Lepisosteus oculatus: one gene and its partner. The protein of the gene in region 1 purifies or fractionates together with the protein of each later gene. This does not show direct contact. Links are inferred from orthologs where the notes say so. Each region holds a gene or a part of one and is shown on either strand. Other genes may lie near its edges.

Evidence for each region. Proteins that work in one complex are often made in the same cells at the same time.
Region 2: the proteins of alpha-soluble NSF attachment protein (region 1) and stx18 purify together in Homo sapiens (affinity purification with mass spectrometry; 4 studies listed by BioGRID and IntAct, with this or other methods). This does not show direct contact. The link is inferred for Lepisosteus oculatus from reciprocal best matches to the Homo sapiens genes NAPA and STX18.

The regions. Positions count from the first base shown.
Region 1 is NC_090698.1:6,290,985-6,298,527, reverse strand, and holds the start of alpha-soluble NSF attachment protein, read left to right. Parts: upstream 1-4,436; 5' UTR 4,437-4,454; coding exon 4,455-4,642; intron 4,643-6,858; coding exon 6,859-6,938; intron 6,939-7,543. Other genes in the region: zbed4l2 (E3 SUMO-protein ligase ZBED1), read right to left, coding at 1-1,072. UniProt on the Homo sapiens protein: Required for vesicular transport between the endoplasmic reticulum and the Golgi apparatus. Together with GNA12 promotes CDH5 localization to plasma membrane.
Region 2 is NC_090696.1:43,625,195-43,632,405, forward strand, and holds the start of stx18 (syntaxin-18), read left to right. Parts: upstream 1-4,211; 5' UTR 4,212-4,303; coding exon 4,304-4,456; intron 4,457-7,211. UniProt on the Homo sapiens protein: Syntaxin that may be involved in targeting and fusion of Golgi-derived retrograde transport vesicles with the ER.

The DNA of each region.
Region 1 (7,543 bases):
AGACGGCGCTCTCCGGCAGGCGGAACTCGGAGAGCACGGACCGCAGCGCCGCCCCCAGCTGGGCCTCCGGCGCGCCCTCCGCGAGCTCGGGCACCGGCCGGGTCTCCAGCACGCAGCGGGCCAGGCGCCAGTCCCGGTCCACGAAGTGCGCGCTGACGGTCAGGTAGAGGCGGCCGCCGCCCCCGCCCGCGCCCAGCGACCTCCAGCGCTCGGCGCACAGCGTCAGGCCGCGGGGGGGCAGGCTGGCGCTCAGGTGCTGCTCCAGGTGCTGCTTGAGGGCGTGGTAGCGGTGCCACAGCAGGCTGCCCAGCTGCGAGGGCGAGGGCGCCGGGTACTGCGGCTCCAGGCAGCCCAGCAGCAGCCGGAAGCCGCGCTCCTCCACCAGGGACAGCGGCTGCAGGTCCCGGAACACCATCTCCAGGATCAGGTCCGTCAGCAGCCCCGCCCGCTTGCTGCTGCAGCCCCGCGCGCCCCCCCCGCCACCGCCGGCCTCCGGGTAGAAGAGCCCGGACAGCAGCGAGTGGCTGGGGGGCTCCGGCTCCGGGGCGCCGGCCGGGATCCCCCCGCCCGCCCCGGCCCCCCCACCGCCGGCGGCGGAGCCCCCCAGCCGCGCCCTCTTGCTCTCCCCCCCCTCAGGCGAGACCTCCGCCTCCTGCGTTTCCTCCTTGACCACCACCAGCGCCGCCGCCCCCCCCCCAGCCCCGCCCGGGCCGGGCAGGAAGGGGGCGGGCGGGGGCGGGGCCAGGAGGGCGGGGAGGGAGTGGTTGCCGGCGGCGGCGGCGGCGGGGGGGGCGGGGGCGGGGGCGGGGCCGTTGTCGCGGATGCTGTGCTTGCGGACCAGGTGCTCCCTCATGGTGGTGGTGCTGTTGTGGAAGGACAGCTGCTTCTTGCAGACGTTGCACTCCACGTGGCTCTCGCTCAGCTGCGTGTAGTAGTTCCACACCTTGGACTTGCGGCGGTCCACCGAGGCGCAGTACAGCGGCCGCCCCAGAGGCCCCCCCGCGCCCCTCTCTCCGCGCCGCTTCAGGGGCGGCCCCAGGCCCGAGGGCAGGGAATAGCCCGGAAACTCCATGGGGAGCAGGGGGAGAGGGCTCCTGGAGGCTGAGGAGACACAAGACGGTCGGCTGGCGACGTGGGGATTCTTGAAGTTCGAGATTCTCGCTGTTCGATAAAGAACAGGCTGGGCAGCTTGTCTTATCTGATGAACGTGATCACGTTACACCTGTTCGCTTCCCCCCTGCCACATCAGCAGGGCCACAATGCACTGCAAGTGTGGGGTAACCCCCACCCTCACCTGGAAGGGCCCCCCGTTATCACACAATTCCCTCCTGTGCTGCTCCCATAACACTTTCCACACCCCTGCCTGGCTCAGGATTTGACACTGGCTTTACTCTTCTTGCACCGTGATTTCACTGTGCTCGAGAGTTCTCTTACCATGATTTCAGTGCTTCATTACACTTCACTGTGCTTTTACCATGACTTCCCTGCTTCATAACACTTTACTTGTACCACGGTTTTACCATACACCACTACTACTACTCTTTACAGTGCTTCTACATGATTTCACTGTATTTGACACCTCACCCTGCTTTTACCACTATTTACTCCCAAAACACTCTTCCGGAAGAAATATCAATCGGAGCCTATCGTGAATACTGCTGTACACTCTCCAGCAGCAGGTAAACCAACACGCTGTGACCCACCTGGAAAATATCTTTGACACTGAAAGTCATTGACTGGAGCCAGACGAGCCGAGTAACTCGTCACACCCGGGAGCTGGACCCACCGCCCTCCGGAGTCCAGAGCCCCAAGCCCCTGTTCTGTACTGCTGCCCTCTAGCGGTGGTACAGCGCACTGCAGCGCCTCTCGCACCCGTGTCAGCTGGAGCGCCAGCAAGCAGCTGACAACGAAGGAGACCAACAAGCCTGCCCATGAAGAGCGCTACAAAATAGGCGACACGCAGTGACTACAAAGGCTGAAAAACGAGGCCACGGATATGCCCAGGACACAGAGCAACCAGGAACGGGCTTGACGGAGTGATGAATCCGGGTCGTGTAGCCGCAGTGGGACAGACTGGCCAGCGGGCAGTGGGTGCCAACGTCACCGCACTGACGCGGGCTGAGATTTCGCGGATTCGTGGCCCGTGTTTGTTGTTGTTGTTGTTGTTGTTGTTTGTGTGTGTGTGTGTGTAAACGCTCAGGTCGAGTCCTGCGTTTCCCGGGCTGTGTAAGTCGCGACTTAAGCCGTCGCTACCCCCCCTCTGCAATGACACATGACTCGAGTAACAGTTTACTTAGACCAGCGGTCAGGTAACGTCGACACCCGGCGCGCCGCCGGCCTGCGCCGGACTGGACAGCCCGCAACACTCACCCGGTCGCTAGGGGATCCTGCCGCCGGCTCGGGGCACCACGGTTACCGGGGAATGAAACGGAAGGCGGGCGCAGAAGCTCGTTCGGAAGTCACACATAGCCGAACCCCAGCCCGCGGCCCACCTTCCGACGGGAAATGATTCTTTCATATCCAGGGTCATGCTGCAAAGTGCCGCACCGCCCGGAAAACGGAGGGCGAAAGGGGACGCACGGTTTAGGGACCGTCCCCCATGCGCAGCGGGAAGCGTATGCGGATTTCACACTTTGAAAATCAAAAAACCGGGGGACGAAATTCTCGTCCTCTCGCCGGAAGGCTGGAGCAGCCCCGCGGTGCCGAAACGCACGATTGCGCGTCCGAGCTGCGCACAGCGGCGAGAGACCAGACCGGTTGTTAAACCGGTATCTGCGGGTACCAGACACCAGCCTCCACCCGACGGTGGACCTCGCTGCAGTGCTCAAAGGCATTCCTGTCGAAATTTCCCTTAAAGCGTTGTTTGGCTGTAACTACTGTAATTCCTTTGTCTAAATTTGGCCAGTTTGAACTGTCTGATTTTTCTCATTCTGTCGAGCTGTGGAACTTCGCTTCAAGGTTTGTTGAATACGTTACTAAATAAAAACTGAACGGGTTAACGGGCGTCCTTGTCTTTTATTAAGGGCATTTGACGGGATTTTGAATTGTAATTTAAAAAAAATCATTGAAAAAACATTTTTTAAAGCTTCCCTAGTGCCTGCTGGTTGTTCGTTTCTAAAAAACACGAGATCGAAGATTCACTGGGATCGGACTGGTTACCATAGTAACGGCTTCCGGCCGCACGGAAGCGCTGTCCGGTATAGGAATCCTGAGCTCGAGGCTGGAGGGCTGGTCCTGTTACCCACCTGAAGGTGTTCGAGACGGGGGATGGAAACTGACTCTCTGTGCTGTCCTCTTAGGGACCTGTTGCGGTAACATTCCCAGGAACACACATTTGACACACACACATACACAATGTAGGAAACAACACGTCAAGCCATGCAATCGGTCTCCCATACACCTGTTTGCAGACACCTGTCAACACTGCAGAATTAGTCCACTAATTTTGGACTATTAGTGTGTACATGCACTTTTCTGTTGTACAGAAGTAGTTCAGGTGGGGAGGTGGCGTCAGCATGCCTAGGCTCAAAAGGAACAAGTAATAGGTTTATTCCAAGCTGAAGAGAGAAGAGGGAAAATGTTTCACCCGAAGAAGGCTCCACAGCCGAAATGTCGTCTTTCTTCTCTTTCCAGCCTGGAATAAACCTATGGCTTGCTCCCTTTGTATCATACTTCTACAATACTCTTGCTTTCACTCTACTGAGATGATGGCATATCGTGGAGATTGTCGAAAGCTTGCCAGTGGCACGGTCACCACTACACAGCAGCCAGCAGCCAGTAGCCATATCACCCTGCAACTCACAACTGGCAACCCACTGGAGCCCAGCAGGTGTGAGCCTGGTCAGTACCTGGAGGGGAGAGACTCCTGGGAAACACTAAGGTTGCTGCTGGAAGAGGCGTTAGTGGGACCAGTAGGGGGCGCTCACTCTGCGGTCCAGGTGGGTCTTAATGCCCCAGTATAGTGACGGGGACACTATACTGTAAACAGGTGCCGTCCTTTGGATGAGACGTAAAACCGAGGTCCTGACTCTCTGTGGTCATTAAAAATCCCAGGGCACTTCTTGAAAAGAGTAGGGGTGTAACCCCGGCGTCCTGGCCAAATTTACCATCGGCCTTTATCAATCATGGCCTCCTAACAATCCCCCTCTTCATTTCTCTGCTCTCCTCCCCACGGATACCTGGTGTGTGGTGAGCGTTCTGGCGCACTATGGCTGCCGTCGCATCATCCAGGTGGATGCTGCAGATTGGTGGTGGTGGAGGGGAGTCCCCATTACCTGTAAAGCGCTTTGAGTGGAGTGTCCAGAAAAGCGCTATATAAGTGTAAGCAATTATTATTATTACACGTCGACAGCGCTGCAGTGTTGTGCTTCACGGTCTCTGGCAGGCGGGCCCGGCGCGTGCCTTTGCTGCGCCCCTCCCACGTGACACGGGCGCCGGCCCGCGGCTTCAGCGAGATGTGTCAGGCGTCAGGCGCAGACCGGAGCGAAGCCCACAGGCGCCGCAGTGTAACCGAAGCAAAGCGCACTGTCAGCGCGGACGCAATCATGGACAATTCCGGGAAAGAAAAGGAAGCACTGGCCCTCATGGCAGAGGCCGAAAGAAAAATCAAATCGTCGCAGTCTTTCTTCGGGACGTTGTTTGGGTGAGTGGCAGGTGGCGGCGGAGCGGGGTCGCGATCGGTTTGGCTGCCGGGGAAGGAGAGCTCGTAGACGGTCTAAGCTCGTTAGGAAAATCCGAGGGCGTGCGGCTGACGGTACAGAAGCAGAGGCCTGGCCGTAAAAGGCTGTCATGTATGCTTGGGAACGCTCCTGGTCATGTGGCATAACGATATCGACCTCCATGCGAAATAAAAGGACACCATCGATAAATACATTTTTAACTTTTTTTTTTTAGAAAAGTTGTACAGCACCGTTGAGCTACGGGCTGAAAAGTTGCTTGATCATCGATTTGCCAGCCTGTTCCTTCCTGGGTCGATTGTTCTGCCGAGTTCGGGGAGGGACGCAGGTCTGGGAGCTGCGGTTACGAGCTCCGCGGTCACATGTGTCGTCGAGTCAGCTGATCACACGACACCAGACTGTAAACAAAGTACTCTGACACCGGGTCCGCATGGTCTGACCCAGTGAGGAGCACTGGTCTGTCTTCCACCGCAACACAGAACATTCAGAGTGTCCTCTACCTGAACTGTCGTGTAGGGACCAGTTGTAAAAGGGCTGTCCCACTGTACTGGGACTGTAGCCCCTATTGTAACAGGACTGTTCTACTGTACTGGGACTGTAGCTCCTACTGTAACAGGACTGTTCTACTGTACTGGGACTGTAGCCCCTATTGTAACAGGACTGTTCTACAGTACTGGGACTGTAGCTCCTACTGTAACAGGACTGTTCTACTGTACTGGGACTGTAGCTCCTATTGTAAGAGGACTATTTCACTGTACTGGGACTGTAGCTCCTATTGTAACAGGACTGTTCTACTGAACAATCCTGTTGTTGTACTGATAATGAATAATTACAGTAGACGATAGAGAATCTTATCGAGGCATCTAAGCTGAGATGCTGTGTTGTAGCAGAAATGGAGCCCAGCAGGACAGTGAGTGTGTGTTAGGGGGCAGCTCTGTGTGTGAATTTCGTACTGTGACAATAAGATAGATAGATACTTTATTGATCCCGTGAGGGAAATTGCAGAAGAGGAGGGAAACATGCAGGTGTGTGCAGGCAGGCAGGCAGGCAACACCCCCTCTTGTGCTTCTGGAGAATCAGCATCTGGGTGAAGTTTATTCAGAGGTAGAGGTGCGTATCTTAAAGGGAAACTGCAGTCCCAGTTTCTCAGACCGGTTATTACAACTTGGTAACAAAATGATTCATTGACCATATAGGAAAAAAAAAGACAAATCTGAATTAAGCACAAGTACTGTAAGTCACCATGTTGTCGCGAACTCAAACATCCGAGTTGCGACGCGATGCGACCCTTCCTGCTCACTAGTCTCCATACTGACTAGTGAACCGATAGGAACCGATTGTGCAGCAGACATTTCACCACAGAAATGATCTGTATGCAAGAGTAAACAAGTAAGTGGTATTTGTCTGTAAAACGTTTCAAAACCTGAAGCAACATTTCTGCTGGATTAAAAGAGATTTATTTACAAAGGAACAGGTTAAGGTTTATTCCGTGTTGAAAGGAGAAAAAAAAAGAGACCACTGTAGAAATGTGTGCCTTCCTTCAGGTGTGTTTCTGCAATGTGAAAAACACAGTGGATTAAAAGCCGGCTTGTTTTGTGATGTAATAGGGCCACAACACGTCACCGGTAGTTTTGTTGCCTCTTTCTCAATCACAGAACACACCTGGGAATTTCAGCAACTATGTGATGTAACTTGGAGGCTTGACAAGTTACTGTGCACGTTTGACTGTTATTGTGGTTTGAAATGCACCCATCAATGCTGTTTTTTTCCTAACCCCGAAATCTAAAATCGTATATTTCAGTTCCCCTTTAGCTTGGGAACTAAGCCACCTCTCGCTCTCCCCAGCAGGGAAGAACGTCTTTCCTCAGTCTCCGCCCACAGAGTGGCTCTGCTTGTGTTTCCACCTGTCCGTTGATCCACTGGACGGGAACAAATTCAGATAATTTCCTTCAGTAAAATATAATTCACTAACTGCAGCAGCATTTGGAAAGATGTTACCTGGGTACTTTAGATCCCTGTTGGCTCAGTTTTGTTTGTCAGAACTATGCAGTGTTAATGCGTTAGGGAATCAGACTGATGACGGGAAGGAACTTGCTCTAAAACATTTGTTTTTACATCTACGTAAAGTAGTAGGCTCTGACCTTGCCTGTGTCCCTCCCTCTGTTCCTGGCTGGGTGTCCAGGGGCTCATCGAAGGTTGAGGAGGCATGCGAGATGTACGCACGCGCTGCCAACATGTTCAAGATGGCCAAGAACTGGAGTGGTAAGAGACAGAGACAGTGAGAAGGAAGGAGGGGTCATAGCGGAGTGTGTGTGTGCAGTGAGGTGTGATGCGGTGCTGTAGCAGTGTGTGTGTGTGCAGTGAGGTGTGATGCGGTGCTGTAGCAGTGTGTGTGTGTGCAGTGAGGTGTGATACAGTGCTGTAGCAGTGTGTGTGCAGTGAGGTGTGATGTGGTGCTGTAGCACTGTGTGTGTGTGCAGTGAGGTGTGATGCGGTGCTGTAGCAGTGTGTGTGTGCAGTGAGGTGTGATACAGTGCTGTAGCACTGTGTGTGTGTGCAGTGAGGTGTGATGCGGTGCTGTAGCAGCGTGTGTGTGCAGTGAGGTGTGATGCGGTGCTGTAGCAGTGTGTGTGTGCAGTGAGGTGTGATACAGTGCTGTAGCACTGTGTGTGTGTGCAGTGAGGTGTGATGCGGTGCTGTAGCACTGTGTGTGTGTGCAGTGAGGTGTGATGCGGTGCTGTAGCAGTGTGTGTGTGCAGTGAGGTGTGATGCGGTGCTGTACCAGTGTGTGTGTGCAGTGAGGTGTGATGCGGTGCTGTACCAGTGTGTGTGTGCAGTGAGGTGTGATGCGGTGCTGTAGCAGTGTG
Region 2 (7,211 bases), on another chromosome or scaffold:
ACAAAGGCATTTTAAGCATTTTAATTTTAATACTCTAGACTGTGCTTGTGTTCAGATTCATTTCTATGCTAAAAATGTTTATTAATAACACAGAAATTGGTTTTAGTGACGGCTTCTACTAAAATCAAAGTAAAGCAATGCTTTTGTTGGAACTGGTGTAAGAAAAAAGGATAATTCCACAGTGCACACCTGATTGGCCTCAGAAAGTTTCACTGGACTCTTTTTTTTACAAGCTGGCGGCATGAGCTGTCTGAAGATGTAATTGGGGGGGTTTGCTTGAGGTCAATGGCTGTCAAATGCCATCGTCATCAGAAATTTCTGTCTGGTACTTGGGCACTGTAACTTGTCAGTTAATGAAAGCTACTTTTATATTCAACACAGGAGAAAACACAGAAATTGTAAGGCTTAGGTGCTGAAGCTGCGAAAGTGGAGATGGAATCACAGAGTTATGCAATACAGAGCAGGGTTTATAATGCAGCATTAACAAAGGAAATGAGAAAACCACACAGCAAATAACAGGCTTTTTATGCTAAACATTAATGCCACTTTTTAAGTTTAGGTACAGTTCCAAGGGACTTCAAATAAATGGTTTTGTAAGAAATATTACGTACAAATTACTACATAAGTCTAGACAGGACATTATTTCTTTATTTACGTTGGCAAATGCAGAATTTGGTTTTAGTCAAATAGTAATTTTAAATATGTATGTTTGGACATATGTAAAAATAAGTAAACGTGTGAACACGTAAATATTTATGTAGATTAGTAACCTGTTATCCACTTCCTGCAATAAACAGAAAGAGTAATTAAAACAGAGGCTATATATTGTAAAAGGATATATGTGATTTCCTTTCTATTGCTACTAGAAAGGTAGACAGATGTTTAACTGCTCCTGAAGCACCAAACCGGATTTGGTCTGAAATGGAGCACAACATTTTTAGTAATAATTGACTTAGTTAACTATCTAAAAGTAAATGATCATTAGAAAACATCTGTAAAGACTATAATAAAAATGACAATGAAGAAAGTCACACATTATGAATTACTTGAATGAAAACAGCCAGATTATTCCAAAGTAAACCTTTGCTATGAGCTTGTAAAATAATTTGTCTTGTGGTTAAACAGTAATCTTTTATTTAGTTTTTCAACAATACCATTTGTTATTTCTCAATAACAGAAAATAATGTTGAAAAAGAGACACTTTCAAGTGAAAGCAGACCAGCAGGATTAACAGTCGGGCAATTTATTTTTTCCTTCATTCTTGGTGTGTCTCTTCACTCAGCTATTAAACCTGTAGTTGTGAATTCCATATTCAGTATGAAAAATAAAGTTTAGTTGAACAGCCTTTAGATTCAGAAGCTTTGAATGATAAACTGAATGTAATGAACTGTTTATCAACACACAGTTAAATTAAAATAACTGACTTGTCACTCTTTTGTTGTTCGTGTTGCCGTCAGGTATTGGGTGTGACTGGAGCAGATATTAGAAACACTTAAGATTAAGTCAATTTCAAGGCATGATTATTTTCTACCAATTGCTCTCAAGAAAATAATAGATGTTATTCCTCGACTGTTGGCAAAACTTTTCCCACAGTCATTTAGGAGAGGATTAATACCCACTGACCGGAAAATGGATAATGTTGCACACATCCATAAAAATAGTGATTATCAGAACCTACTATTTATAATCCAATAGGTCTTATTACAGGTGATCTTATGGAAATGATATTAGAACTTACCTGGCAGATCATATCTGTAGAACAGTAGGGTTTTATAATATAGCAAACAATGATATAGAAAAGGTATGTCTTGCTAAACGATTTTGCTATAACAACAGTAATATATACAGAGAAAATGACATGGTTTATGCAATGTTTTTGGATTAAGAAAATTACTGCAGTATCACAAGGGCCTTTATTATGACCACTTCTCATCCTAATGCACTTTCTGTGGGGGAGCAGAGTGCATTTAAAAGTGAAAACAGGACGTACTTTTCACACAAAGATTTGTGGGAATTTGGTACATATTATCCAGTCATGTTGTAAAAGCAGATACCCTGGGTTCTAGAAACAGATGGATCCACAATTGATCAATTAATTATCTATCATCTAAATAACACAGATGAGCAGAACGGCCTTGTCTTGTCTGTAGCCTTTGTTTTGTTCTTACAAAATTTTGTGTCACGTTTGACTACATTTTGTCTAACCATGTATTGTATAGCTTTGCAAACGATAAATTAAGGAAAATATTAATAGGACAATAGGGTAATGAAAGTAAGTGAACAACTAAAGATAACTTTGTGTGTGTGTGGAATTTATTAATGGCAGATTAATGTATTCCTTCAGTAAAAATGAAAAACATCATTAATAGTTTCTAACATACCATTTGAATATGCATGTTTAAATCAGATTATAGTGTATATATTTATATTAAATATAATATAAATATAAATATATTAAAGGTGGGTAGCTGCGTCAGCATGCGTAGGCTGCAAAGGAACAAGTAATAGGTTTATTCCATGCTGAAAAAAAGAAGAAAGAGAACACAACGTTTCGGCCGTGGAGCCTTCTTCAGGTGTGAAGAAGGCTCCATGGCCGAAACGTTGTGTTCTCTTTCTTCTTTTTTTCAGCATGGAATAAACCTATTACTTGTTCCTAAATATATTAAAGCAGTATTGTTTAACTACACTGTCTACAGAGCTGCATAGAGGTCATAGCATCATAACAGAATGATACACAGACTCCAGAGGTGATTATGTTGTATTCATGAAGAATGAAGGGGGAGAATGTCCCTAATACAAGTTCATGGAGTTTTATATATTCTCTTTACCTGTCCACCTCTCATTACACCACTGCAATTCATAAAACACTTAAGATTAAGAACTTGTTTGTACATGGTATTTTGCCATGCCCTGAAGGCTTGCAACTATTCTTGGCTTTGACCAAAAAATGTTATTAAATGCAAAAGCCATACACCAAATAAAATGTAAAATCAATAAGTTTAAGGTAAGTAGCAACAATCACTCCTTGCTGACAGAACTCTTAGTTTAAATGATTTCTCCATGTTAACTGGTTAGTTGTCAAATATATTTTCTGAACTGACTATATTATTAGTTAGCTTCAGTACCATAACAAATATATTAGTTTACTATACAGTTTAATACAAATAAATTAGAATGTTGGTGATTTGTAAAGCTTGTTTTTATACAAAAGCAATGAACTATTACATTTCTCTTACTATCTACATATTCATTTCAGGATGTCAATGGTCTTTTTATGCAAAAAGGTGTCATTTTTGTGTGTGGTTCACGCAGTTTACCATTACCTTTGTGATCCAAGCTAGCAAATATTTGAGTTCTGCTTCACAAGCCTTTGTGAATCATGCTATGGGCATTTCCTTTGTCAAGTAACATTTTATTGTAGTGCATAACTATGTGCAAGCAAACCTTACGACTATGTTTTCCCATGTAAAACCTAGTATTAGAATAGGCAGACTACCTATTTTCCAAAGTTATTTATGACACATAACCACTTCACATTGTAAATTAAGGAGGGCAAGCATTTCAAAGCAAACTGGACAATGAATCCCTCTCATAAAATCTAGAAGTCTGACTAATGCTGATATTCTTGGCCTTCCCTGTGGTGTGTCAATAGCAGATGCTGACAGCTTCAACATTCTCTGCTTTGCTTACCGATTGAAGTTGTGACACTCTTGTGACTGCAGTCAGTCGTTCTTATAAGGAAGCTACATTTCTATACATACATCAAAATCCAAAAATGTTTTTTTCTTGTATGAGCACTGCTCTTATTATATGATGTATGTAAAACATGTTGTGATTAAATTAAGTTCATCCAATACACAATACATTCTGCATATGTATAAAAATGTCTTCAAATATTTTCATTTCAGAGTAAACGTATATATTACAATCTTCTCATAATTTTATGAGACTTCACACTACATAATTGATTTAAAGAGTAAACTGTTAAACATTTATTTTGAATATGAACACTACGGACTGCATTACACACTCTTAAACCTCCTCAAGTGTGTTTTAATAAATAATTTTAAGTTAGTCTAAAATATGCTTAATGCTTTCAGACTCTATAATATCAAGAACAAAAAAAAAAGAATAATATGGACCAATCCTGCAATCGCCAAACGTTATGTGGAAGGGAGAAAGACCACGTGTATTGGTCTGTCGCAGAAATATGACGTTAAAGACGGTGACGTGTCTTTGTTGACAGCAGATACAGGGGGTTTGCTTTAATTTTCAACGTTTGTGAGAAAGGCATGGTTTAGAAATGGCTGTTGATATAACGTTATTGTTCAAAGCGAGCGTAAAGACTGTGAAAACCCGAAATAAAGCCATTGGGGTTGGATTCGACAGTACAAAAGATGACATCCTGAAGAAAACCAGACTTAAGAGTGACTTCTCCACAAAAGCTAAGGAAGTGGTGAGTGTAATTACAGTCCAGAAATAAGATTCTGGGAATACAAACATTTATAAACCGTCTGTTTTACAGAGAGTTTAGTTATGCAGATTACAGTTATTTTTTCATTGACCGAATATGTAAGGTGTTTTAAATCGGAATGTAGCACCTACACATTTTCTTCACAAAACTGTCGACTTTCTTAATAAATCTCAAATAAATACATTCTAAAAGTGCTATATCATAATGCAATAAGAAGTTACATAAATAAATTATCTCCATTTTCCATTAATTTTGGTGTCCAGAATTTCTACTCGCCTTAACTTCAGAAATGTATAAATGCAAAGTCTGTTTGTCATGTTGTCATCATATTGAGCCGACATGGCGTCAGTTTCAATAGCGATATGCTCAGGATGTTTTTTTTTAATGAAAGAAAGCGTGGGATTTTTATACTAGATGCACATGTCGAGGTTAAGATACACATCAAGGAAAATGTAACTATGAATATATAGTCTTTCTGAAACTGTTTCTTTACCTAATGTGAAACCGTCTGATGTATCATCAATCGTAACTGAAGTTGCTGGTACTTTACTCTGTGGTACTGCAGCAGTACTTACACATTGTAAACAGTGGAGGACTGCAAGTAGTGACGGACCCGGTAGATGGCATTCTTTGCTCTGGAACAGAAAAATACAGTGCAGTCTTAGTGTGGTGACAGAGGATGTGTAGTGTGAGGGTACACTTGAACTAAGGTACACTTTAAAATGGAGCCTGGCATGCAGATACCTATGGTCAAATACCAGTCATTTCTCAGAGGCTCAGGTGTTATTAAACCTTAATAATTACCTTCAGTATTTTATTCTATAAAAATTGAATTTTCATATTTGACTTGCTGATAGCATTCTACTGCATCCTTTGCTGGAATATGACCTTTTTCTGTTACAAAAGATTCCTGGTTCATAAAGACCTTCTCACCACACTACATTTACCCGAAATGTATCTGAACATCTAATGTCACAAAAGCAGAAAAGAAATAATTTGACTGTGCAGACTCTTATTTAGCATTATGAAGATTTAGCCAACAACTTAATTTGATTGTTTTTTTTTAATAATACAAATATGACGTAAACCTTAAAGTGGTGGTAAATTATAAATGAGCAGTGTTACTGATCAGAGGCCCAGGTAGTTTCTGTCATGATGCATGAGGCATAATATGAGTCGAATCATGTTAAGAATCTGTCCTTTTATTCCAGAATCATGTTTAATAGGATTAGGTTATTTTTTTTCTCTCATTTGAGAATTTACCATTCACTTATTCTGCGTTACTCTTTTCCCCATAGACATTTACTGAAGGGCATTTAACATGTTTATTTTATCCTATTTGGTTCGTTTAAAAGTTAAGTAAATGCTTTTACTTTTTTTTTTTTACAATTCTGGATGTAGTCCTTGTTAATTTTAAAAGATACTATTTGAACTATGAAATAACCAAATATCCTTATCAAAGCTTTATTCGTTCAGTCCTTGTTTGTCAAAAAGAGGAAATTGTAAATTCTTCTGTTCTTCACCATTGCATACCACCCAAGTGAAATTTCATTTAGAGTAAAGTTAAAGACAAGTGGGGTTCTTTTGTTGTGTGAAGTCGTATTTCCCCAAGAGAAAAAAAAAACCTTTTTCTTTTCCTTTTAGTGCCATATTCCTGCACTGTCAAGTTATAGTGACTTCACCTTGATGCAACATCTGAGTGTAATTTATTTTTTTATTGGAACCGTATTTTCTGTGCCTAAAACCTTTGACAGAAAGAGCCTCTTGAGCTCTCTAACTGTTCAATGGGACAATTGTACAAGGAGTATTCAATTGTTGTATAGTTGCACTGTTAAAACATCAGCTTTAGCAGATACGACCAGTTAGAGAATGCCTAAGACATTGGAATTGTGAAGAGCCAAAATCTAAAGAGATCTTTAACGGAAGAGAAATGGAAAATTGCAGGAAGATCCAACATCAATAAACTACACAATAGAAAGCCACTGGTAACATAGAATTCATGATTTAACATTCAATCAATGAATAAAAGAGATGAAAACACATTAATTAAATGCCATCAAGAGCAGGGCATTGCCGTGTTGCATTCTGAATGTGAAATGCCTAGAAATCCTATGCAAGGAGGTTGATTCAGCTGCTGGTATCTGTCTCCCTTGTAAAATTGAAATTGTTTAATCGTCAGTTCTTAGTGTTTTGCCCATGTAGCATATCAATCAATGTTTATTCTAGCAATTTCTAGACGTCAGCTGACATTCTGTACGGTAAATTTGGCCTTATTCATTAAGTGCTTCTTTCTTCCATCTGTGTTCTGTTGAAGCATTTCAGTCTTCAAAACAGCTGAACCGGTGGCACCAATGTTTTTAGAATAGTGGAAATCTACATAAAGTTTATGAAACCTTGTATGCATTTCAGTATGAACATTAGGTTATAGGCAAAGTTTAAAAATAAATATTTAAGAAAATAATTGTAATGTAAACCAAAGATTTTATTGCCGTGAATCACAATTTCTCCCTTCTCTTTAACAGTTAAAAAGTTCTTAGATTTTTTTATTTTGCCTCTCTAAATATTTCAAAATGTATAGTTATGAAAACAAAGGACATTAATGTGTTTTTATCTTCATCTTGAATAATACAAAACATGAGGTACTGAATAAATATTTTCATACCTGTTTCTTAAAGAATGCAGACTGTTTGAAATCGGCTGTAAAATACTATATATAGTGGTTTCAATATAGTATTAA